Linked DNA regions of Macaca mulatta. The protein of the gene in region 1 binds, or shares a complex with, the protein of each later gene. Links are inferred from orthologs where the notes say so. Each region holds a gene or a part of one and is shown on either strand. Other genes may lie near its edges.

Evidence for each region.
Region 2: the proteins of CSF1R (region 1) and CSF1 are in contact, whole or in part, in a crystal structure (PDB 3EJJ), measured with the Mus musculus proteins. The link is inferred for Macaca mulatta from reciprocal best matches to the Homo sapiens genes CSF1R and CSF1. Residues at the interface, in NP_001032948.2 of Mus musculus: Arg142, Arg146, Leu149, Arg150, Lys151, Lys168, Val169, Leu170, Ser172, Asn173, Val231, Gly232, Phe233, Leu248, Ser250, Asp251, Phe252, Asp254, Asn255, Tyr257, Lys259; in NP_001107002.1 of Mus musculus: His38, His41, Met42, Gly44, Asn45, Gly46, His47, Phe87, Gln90, Asp91, Asp94, Arg98, Asp101, Glu110, Arg111, Gln113, Glu114, Leu115, Asn117.

The regions. Positions count from the first base shown.
Region 1 is NC_133411.1:159,021,330-159,025,237, forward strand, and holds the end of CSF1R (macrophage colony-stimulating factor 1 receptor), read right to left. Parts: intron 3,636-3,908; coding exon 3,513-3,635; intron 3,432-3,512; coding exon 3,320-3,431; intron 2,642-3,319; coding exon 2,542-2,641; intron 1,735-2,541; coding exon 1,626-1,734; intron 1,529-1,625; coding exon 1,361-1,528; 3' UTR 568-1,360; downstream 1-567. UniProt on the Homo sapiens protein: Tyrosine-protein kinase that acts as a cell-surface receptor for CSF1 and IL34 and plays an essential role in the regulation of survival, proliferation and differentiation of hematopoietic precursor cells, especially mononuclear phagocytes, such as macrophages and monocytes.
Region 2 is NC_133406.1:130,284,056-130,287,863, reverse strand, and holds part of CSF1 (macrophage colony-stimulating factor 1), read left to right. Parts: intron 1-738; coding exon 739-861; intron 862-2,103; coding exon 2,104-2,166; intron 2,167-3,765; coding exon 3,766-3,808. UniProt on the Homo sapiens protein: Cytokine that plays an essential role in the regulation of survival, proliferation and differentiation of hematopoietic precursor cells, especially mononuclear phagocytes, such as macrophages and monocytes.

The DNA.
Region 1 (3,908 bases):
GGATACATTTCTCTCTTGCTCTTCCTGTACCCACATTTGGGGGAAGCTGAGGAACAGTCAGCCACAGCTCTCTTCCAGGACTGTCCTCTCCGCCCCCAAGCTTTGAGGAAGAGCATCCCCTTCCTCCTTTCCCTGGCCACTGCTGCTGCAGCCAACATCCTCTCTGGGCCTGGGACCCTCTCCACAGACAGGATGTGGTCCCTGGCCATGACATAACCTGGCAGCAGTAGGAAAAACTCCCTTCTGTGAAGGGGAAGCAGACTGGGCCATAAGGAAACAGCAGGACTGGCTCAAGTGCCCAGGGTTTGTTTAGGGCCTGGGAATTGGCCATGTGTTAATTTATTGAGAGGAGTGGAGTAGGTGGCTTTTTTTCCCCCTCCTTCTCTCTTCCCCCAACAAGAATAAAGTTTATTAAATTATCTGGTTTTGGTGAAGCAGGAGTCAATTCCGTGCACAGTGTGGTCAAGCGCCACAGACATGAGCTCGTCACTGCATGTGAAGGCGGGAGGGAAAGAAGTTCCAGGGAATTTGCAGGCGCTCATATGGCACAAAGAACCAGAGGCTGACTGCATTAATGCTGTTAGTTTAATGTGGGCAGAGACATCCCGCGGCGTGACTGTTAGTGAGGATGAGTCAGCTTGGGGGAGTTTGTGCTTCCTGCTTGGTGTGGCCAGCCACATGCCAAGGTCCCCTGCCTTCTAGCCCAGAATGACAGGGGACTGGGCAGAACACCCCCAACTTTTAGCTGCCACTTGGCTCATCACAGCAGTACCAGTGCTGGGGTAGGAGGGGTAGGGCTGTGGAGTGAAGAAGGCTTGTAGGGCAGAGACTAAGAGGTCCTGTGAGATTCTTAGAGGAGCCATCCTGCTCCAAGGGGCCTGAGCTGAGTGTAGTCTGTGAGCATCTGCTGCTCTTGCTGCGCCTCTCGGAGAGGAAGAGCTCAACTCTTTGCCAGTCTGTCTAGCCCCAAGGAGCCTGGTTTTCTCAGTAGCAGTGTAGCTCCTGGGGACTTCACAGGCATAAAGTCAGTCCACTTCCATTAAGAGAAGAATATTAGGAAAGGAGATGTGGAACATCTACCAGTTGGCATAGCAAACACGAGGCCAACACCATGAGAACGGTAGGGGAGAGGGGGTGAGGGCTCAGCCCCCAGCCCCTGACTGGCAGTGATGGCCCACGCTCAGGGAGTGGGATCCTCAGACCTCCCCTGGATCCCTCACCTTCCCAAGTTTCAGCGCTGGGCCAAGCTGTTGAGTGAAATGACCGAAGGCAGAGTTTGTGTGTTCTCCCCACGTCACCCCGTCCGTGGAGAAGTTGAAGCTTGCAGGAGGGGAGAGTGGTGCTCCCTGTCGTCGGCTCCTCAGCAGAACTGATAGTTGTTGGGCTGCAGCAAGGGCTGGGCGATATCCCCTTGCTCGCAGCAGGCCAGGTGCTCACTAGAGCTCTCCTCCTCCGGCTCACTGCTGCTGCTGCTGCTGCCGCTACCGCTACCACCGCTTCTGCTGCTGCTTGGCAGATTGGTATAGTCCTGAGGGTGGGAGAGACCAGAGACTGTCAGTCCAGATCCATCAGGCCCAGCCCAACCTGCTTTACCGGCCACCCACCCCAAGCCTCACCCCACTCACCCGCTCTCTCCTGTCCTCTTGGGCTTGCTCCTGAAGGAGGGAGCAGATCTGCTGGAAAGTGGGTCTGTGGGTGGGCTCCAAGGCCCAGCAGGCCTGCATGATGCTGTATCTGGAGATAGGACAGAGGATGCCCATGTGCAGCTCTCTAGGGTCCGGGGTCGTTAACACACACCCCTAGGGAGACCTACCCAGCAGAGGTCCCCAAACCCAGTCAAAAGTAATTTTAGTATAAAACCTGTGCCAGGTCCTTGGCATGCTTTACCATTTAATCCTCACAGTAACCCTTGCAGAAGGGTACTCTCATCACCCTCATTTTGACAGATGAGGCCCTTTTGGTATCCTCAGGGTCACTGTAATAACAGTCTCTTAAAAGTCCGAGTTTAGGGACAGGTACAGTGGCTCATGCCTATAATCCCAACACTTTGGGAGGTTGATGCAGGAGGATTACATGAGGCTAGGAGTTCAAGACCAGCCTGGACAACATAATGAGATCCCATCTCTACTAAAAATTTTTTTTAAATAGCTGGGCTTAGTGGTGCACACCTGTAGCCCCAGCTGCTTGGGAGGCTGAGGCCAAAGGATTGCTTGAGCCCTGAAGATTGAAGCTGCAGTGAGCTATGATCGTACACACCACTGCACTCCAGCCTAGGCTACGAGCAAGATGTCTCAAAAAAAAAAAAAAAAAAAAAAAAGAAAAAGAAAAGTGGTCATTTCGGACCAGCCCTAACAGACAGCTGCTTCTCTGAGAACATCGCTCATACCTTGAACTCAGAAGGGGCTTGTGCCCACTGTGGGAGAGAGAAAGCCTGACCCTGGAACATTTTGGACAGGGAAAGATCAGGGCCACACGGCCTTCCATCCCGTTCCAGTGAAAGCCTGGGGTGTCCTTTTCCCTCCCTGGGATCCCTTCGCTTACATATTCTTTGGGGCAAATGCAGGCTGGGCCATTTGGTATCCATCCTTCACCAGTTTATAGAACTTGCTGTTCACCAGGATGCCAGGGTAGGGATTCAGCCCTGCAAAGGCCGAGATCAGGTAAGAGGCCATGCCTGTTGTCCTCTCCCCGTTCCCGCACACCCACACACATCTTAGACTGGGTTTGAGGGGTCCTACTTGACAACACTGCAACAGCAGCTGCTCTTATCCACTGTGTGGCAGGCTTAGGCTTTAGGAACGTGTGAGCCTCCAGCCAGGCCTTATCACGCCAAACAAGAATTCTTGCACAGGCTTTGGGATCAGTAAAACCAAAGCTTCAGTTGTGTATCGTTAAAGTGGGGACAGTCGGGTGGTTATGAGGGTGCTGGAGCAGGGTATTTAAGAACTGGGGACAAGTCCTTGTGCCTAGTCCTCAGGAAATGGGAGTTCTTTCTACTAGAGCCTAGTAGTAGAGAGCTGCATCTTCAAGGGTCTGTAGATTTCAGGCAAAGGAGGGAAACAGTGACAAAGGAGGGTAACAGGTAGCAGCAACTGAGCAGAGACAAATGAGGGAAGAGCCAGAAAGGAGCGCCTGTCAGGGGCAGGGGGTCTGCCCCGCCCTGCAGAAACCGCAATGCTGGGTTTAAACGGAGACCCTTGCCCATTCCTGCACTCTCACAATCCTTGTTGTGTCCTGGGCACCAAACATCTTTGTCCACCAGTGGGGCAACCAGAGGAGCCAGCCCTAGGCTCTGCCTGGAGTGGGCCCAGTGGCTCACCAAGTGAGAAGATCTCCCAGAGGAGGATGCCATAGGACCAGACGTCGCTCTGAACCGTGTAGACACAGTCAAAGATGCTCTCTGGGGCCATCCACTTCACAGGCAGGCGGGCCTGGGATAACAGTCCCCAGTTATTTTGGGCCCTGACTCTTCACCCCCTCCTCAGCCTGGCCCAAGCCCTCCCAGCACTTACATTGCCCTTGACGATGTAGTTGGAGTCATTCATGATGTCCCTAGCCAGCCCGAAGTCCCCAATCTTGGCCACATGCCCATTGGTCAACAGCACATTTCGCGCTGCCACATCCCGGTGGATGCACTGAGGGAAAGCACTGCAGGGTTAGTCTTGGGCCGTCTCCTACCTTAACCTGAGGTGAGGAGGATGGCAGGGAGGGCCCCAGATGGCTTTGGGGTCCCTGTTGGAATAGACATCAGTTTTGGTCCTTTACCATAAACCCTTGTCTATACCTTCTACCAGGGCCCAGGATCTAAGAACGTGTAGCATGGTCTGATCATTTAATGCTTAGAAACCGCCATTACCCTGAGCAGCCATGGCCCTTCTCGCGCTTTGTCCTCTGAGTGGTCCGCTCAG
Region 2 (3,808 bases), on another chromosome or scaffold:
GGGAGAGAAGAGGGGTCTCAGAAAAAACTTCTCTGCCATGATAAGAGGTGGCTGGCTGGAGGCAAGGCCTGATGGTGCTCAAATAGGCAGGTGGCAGGCAAGAGATGGCCCGTTACTGGCACTGGTGCCTCTGATTAATCAGTTGGGCTCCTTTTGAAACACATACCCAGGGCTCCAAGAGGTCTCTGGCAAGGGATGAGTTCCAGTGAAACTGAGTTTGATCCCACAGTCTTTCCAGTGGCAGAGCCAGATCTGCATTGAACCAGGTGGGAGGAAGTGCTGGGCCCAGGGGAGGTGTCTCTGGCTTGCCATCTGAAAGCCGGTGCATGAACGTGAACTTGAGGGCAGTTCAAAAAGTGCTTGGCTCAGTGTTGATGTTACAGAGACAGAAAAAATGGGTAGATGCAAGTCCTGCCCTCGAGTTTCCTGTGTCATTAAAATTTAGACTGGTAGGCACACCATCTGTGTCACTATTAGTTCAATGTGTAGTTAGGTTTGGCTTAATCTGGGAAGGCTTCTTGTAGGTGACATTTGGGTTGTTTTCATGGTAGAACAAGGTTGTGCTGTGGCTGCTAGAAATCCTGGGAAAGCTGGATTTGAGGGATGCTGTATCCTGAGGTAAGGGGCAGAGCCTGTAGCATTGTAGGTTTGAGGCCTTTGTTTTTCTGCTGTGAGCAGGGCATGGGGATAACTGGGGAGAGTGAGGGCTGGGGAGAAATGACACCCTCTCTGTCACAGACATGGCTGGGCTCCCTGCTGTTGTTGGTCTGTCTCCTGGCGAGCAGGAGTATCACCGAGGAGGTGTCGGAGTACTGTAGCCACATGATTGGGAGTGGACACCTGCAGTCTCTGCAGCGGCTGGTGAGTGCGTGGCCATGCTGTATTCTACCTTCTCTCCACTGGGGAAATGGAGGCAGGAGCCAGGGAGCAGGTCAAAGAGAGCAGTTGCAGGCAGGAAAATAGGGCAGTGCAGGACATTGCTTGTGGTTCCCACTAGCTCCACCAGTGATGTCCTTCACTAGCCTTCCCAAAGTTAGGACCTCTGGTCTCCCCAGCTCTGAAGCCCTCTCTGACTCCCCTGCAGGCAGTGGATGGGGTGGGCTTCCAGCTGCTTGCCTGGGTTAGTGATTGCCCAGGAATATCAACCACTAATTCTGAAAAGGCTTCTGAGGTCTGCTGTCCCTCAGTGGGATGCCTCCTCTGGGAAGCTAGCCCAGGCAGCCTGCTGTGTCCAGATGTTGCGTCTAGCTCCTGGACTCTCATGTGTGGCGCCAGTCTGGCATCAGAGCCCCACCCAGATTTGGAGGGGAAGTGCTCACTTAACTCCCAGCCTTCCACCCTCACTTCCCTGGCTCTTGCCCATACCCTGAGGCTGGGATGGCCTGCTCGTCTAGGCCATGAAGGAGCCCGTATCTCATTCTAATCAGGCCCATACGTGGTCCACCCAGGCAGAATCAGGTTGCTGTCATGGCTGCCGTCCTGCTCACTGGGAATTTACCATCCCTCTGGCCAGCTAGGCAGGGTGGGGCCTCACTGGCTAAGGCCAGCTCCAGGGCCCTGAGCTTGGGGCCTGTGGGCTATGCCTTCCACCTCTCTTGCCCTAGCGCTACTTCTCCTGCATGTAGTTGCTGTAGCAATCCAAGGTAGACCAAGAGCCCCAGCATTCTCTGAGGCTTAAAACCCAGAACTGCTGCTCTGGGGCTAAAGAGGGCTTTAAGGGCATCCAGCTCCAACGCCTACAGATGTTCAGTCCCCAGAGCTTGTCCAGCCTCTGCTTGAATTCCTGCCATGACAGGGTGCTCACTACCTCCCAGGGAAGATTATATCCTATATTCTCCTATAGACATTTCTTTCTTAAAACAAATGGGCATTTGTCAGATTTCCTGGGGTGGCAGATGGAAGGAAAAGACTTGTTCTTCTACAGCCTTCCCCTGGGCATATGGAAGGCACTGATCTTCTCCTAGACTTGACTGTCTTTCCACATGTGGTTGGCAGGGATGAAGTTCAAACCCCAATGTATTCAGAAGTTAAGGTCCCCGTTCTGAAGAAGGCTGAGTTGAGCTGTAGGTTGCCCTGCAATCATTGGCCTGCTCTCTCTTACAGATTGACAGTCAGATGGAGACCTCGTGCCAAATTACCTTTGAGTTTGTAGACCAGGAACAGTTGGTGAGTGATAGCTGTTTACAAAATCCATGTACCAGTCTGCATGCAACTCCCAGGGTGGGGTGTGTGTGGGAACATGAAGGCAGCAGAATGCCTACAGCTGGAAAGGTTGAGAGTGTGAGGATCCACGGGTGCTCAACTCTGGGGTGCCAGTATCCAGGGCTCAAGTCCCCTGCCATTCCCTTCTCCTGGCTTGATACATAACAAACGCTCACTAGGTACCAAGCACTTTGCTAATTTAGTTCTGACAGTACCACTATGTGGTACACAAATACTGTTTATTATCCACAGAGAGGTGAAAGGAGCATAGCTAGTAGGTGGTAGAGGCCTGATTTGAATCCAGGAAGGTTGGTTGTAGGGCTTGAGGCAAATCAATACTTCTTCCAGGTCACATGCTTCGCTTAAGGATGTCACTTCTTTTCACTAGGCCAACCAGCAGGCAGGGAGGCAGTCCAGCCCTTCCTGGACTTGCCCCACACCCAGCAAGCCACCAAGTGCTGCTGGTTCTGCCTCTCAGCATCTCTGGGTTCTGTCTCCTCCATCCCTACCTTCACCCCTCAATCAGTTGCTTGGACAATTTCAGGAGCCTCCTAACTGGTCTCCCTGCTTTTAGTTCACTCTTCATCTTACCACTAGGGGGAATTTTCTGAAACGCCAACCTGCTGCCTTTACCTCACTCTCCCAAAACCATCAGGGGCCCCATCACTCCAGAAGAAAGCCAAGGTTGTCTAGCCTGGGTTACACCAGGTCTAGCCATTCTCCACCACATAAACCTGTACACCGCCTCTCCATTCCCTGCTCCTTCCTGCCTCCCATCTTTGCACAAGCTCTTCCCAATGACTGTCATGCCTTTCCACCTGCTCCCCCAGTCACTATTCCACATCTGTTCATCTTTATGCCTCATGCAAAACTGCCATGGTATCCAGAAGTTGCCCCTGTCTCTGAGCTTCCACACACCAGACCCATATGCACCTCTGTTAGTACTGGAGACCACCTCATGGTCCAAAGAATAGCCTCAGTATTTTATAGCCTCACTCACTCGCTTGCTCTAGCATTCATGCCTGAACTAGCATTTGCTAGGAACCTACTGGACTAGATGCTGGGGGTAGGGAGCTAAAGCAGAGTGGGTCTTCAAGGCAACTACCATCTCTTTAGGGAGACAAAACACAGAGGTTATCCTTTGTACCATGAGATAGTCTTCACCCCCCCTATATCCTGGAGGATTTGAAGGGGCCATATGGTAAAAGATTTTTGTGAAAGGAAGCCAAGAGGAAGACAGAAAGAAAGGCAGGGGGAGGTTCCCTGGAGCCCACCTTCCCTATGTACATCCATCCTGATTAAAACCTCATATTCCAGAAACCCAGAGAACTCTCTAATCAGAATCCACATTTCCTTCACTCTAACCCAGTCTCCAATAGTGCTAGATCCCAAAGAGAGAGAAAGACAGGCAAGCTGAGGGCAGCTTTCTCCTCGTTGCTGGCATGGTGTGGTCCCTCCCCTGGGGGAAGGGGGAGAGCAAGCTGCAACCCTCCATCTGCCTGGGGTTGGGGGTTCCCAGGCCACAATGGCCAGGCTATAAGCCTCAGGTTCCTGTTTTTTCAGAAAGATCCGGTGTGCTACCTTAAGAAGGCATTTCTCCTGGTAC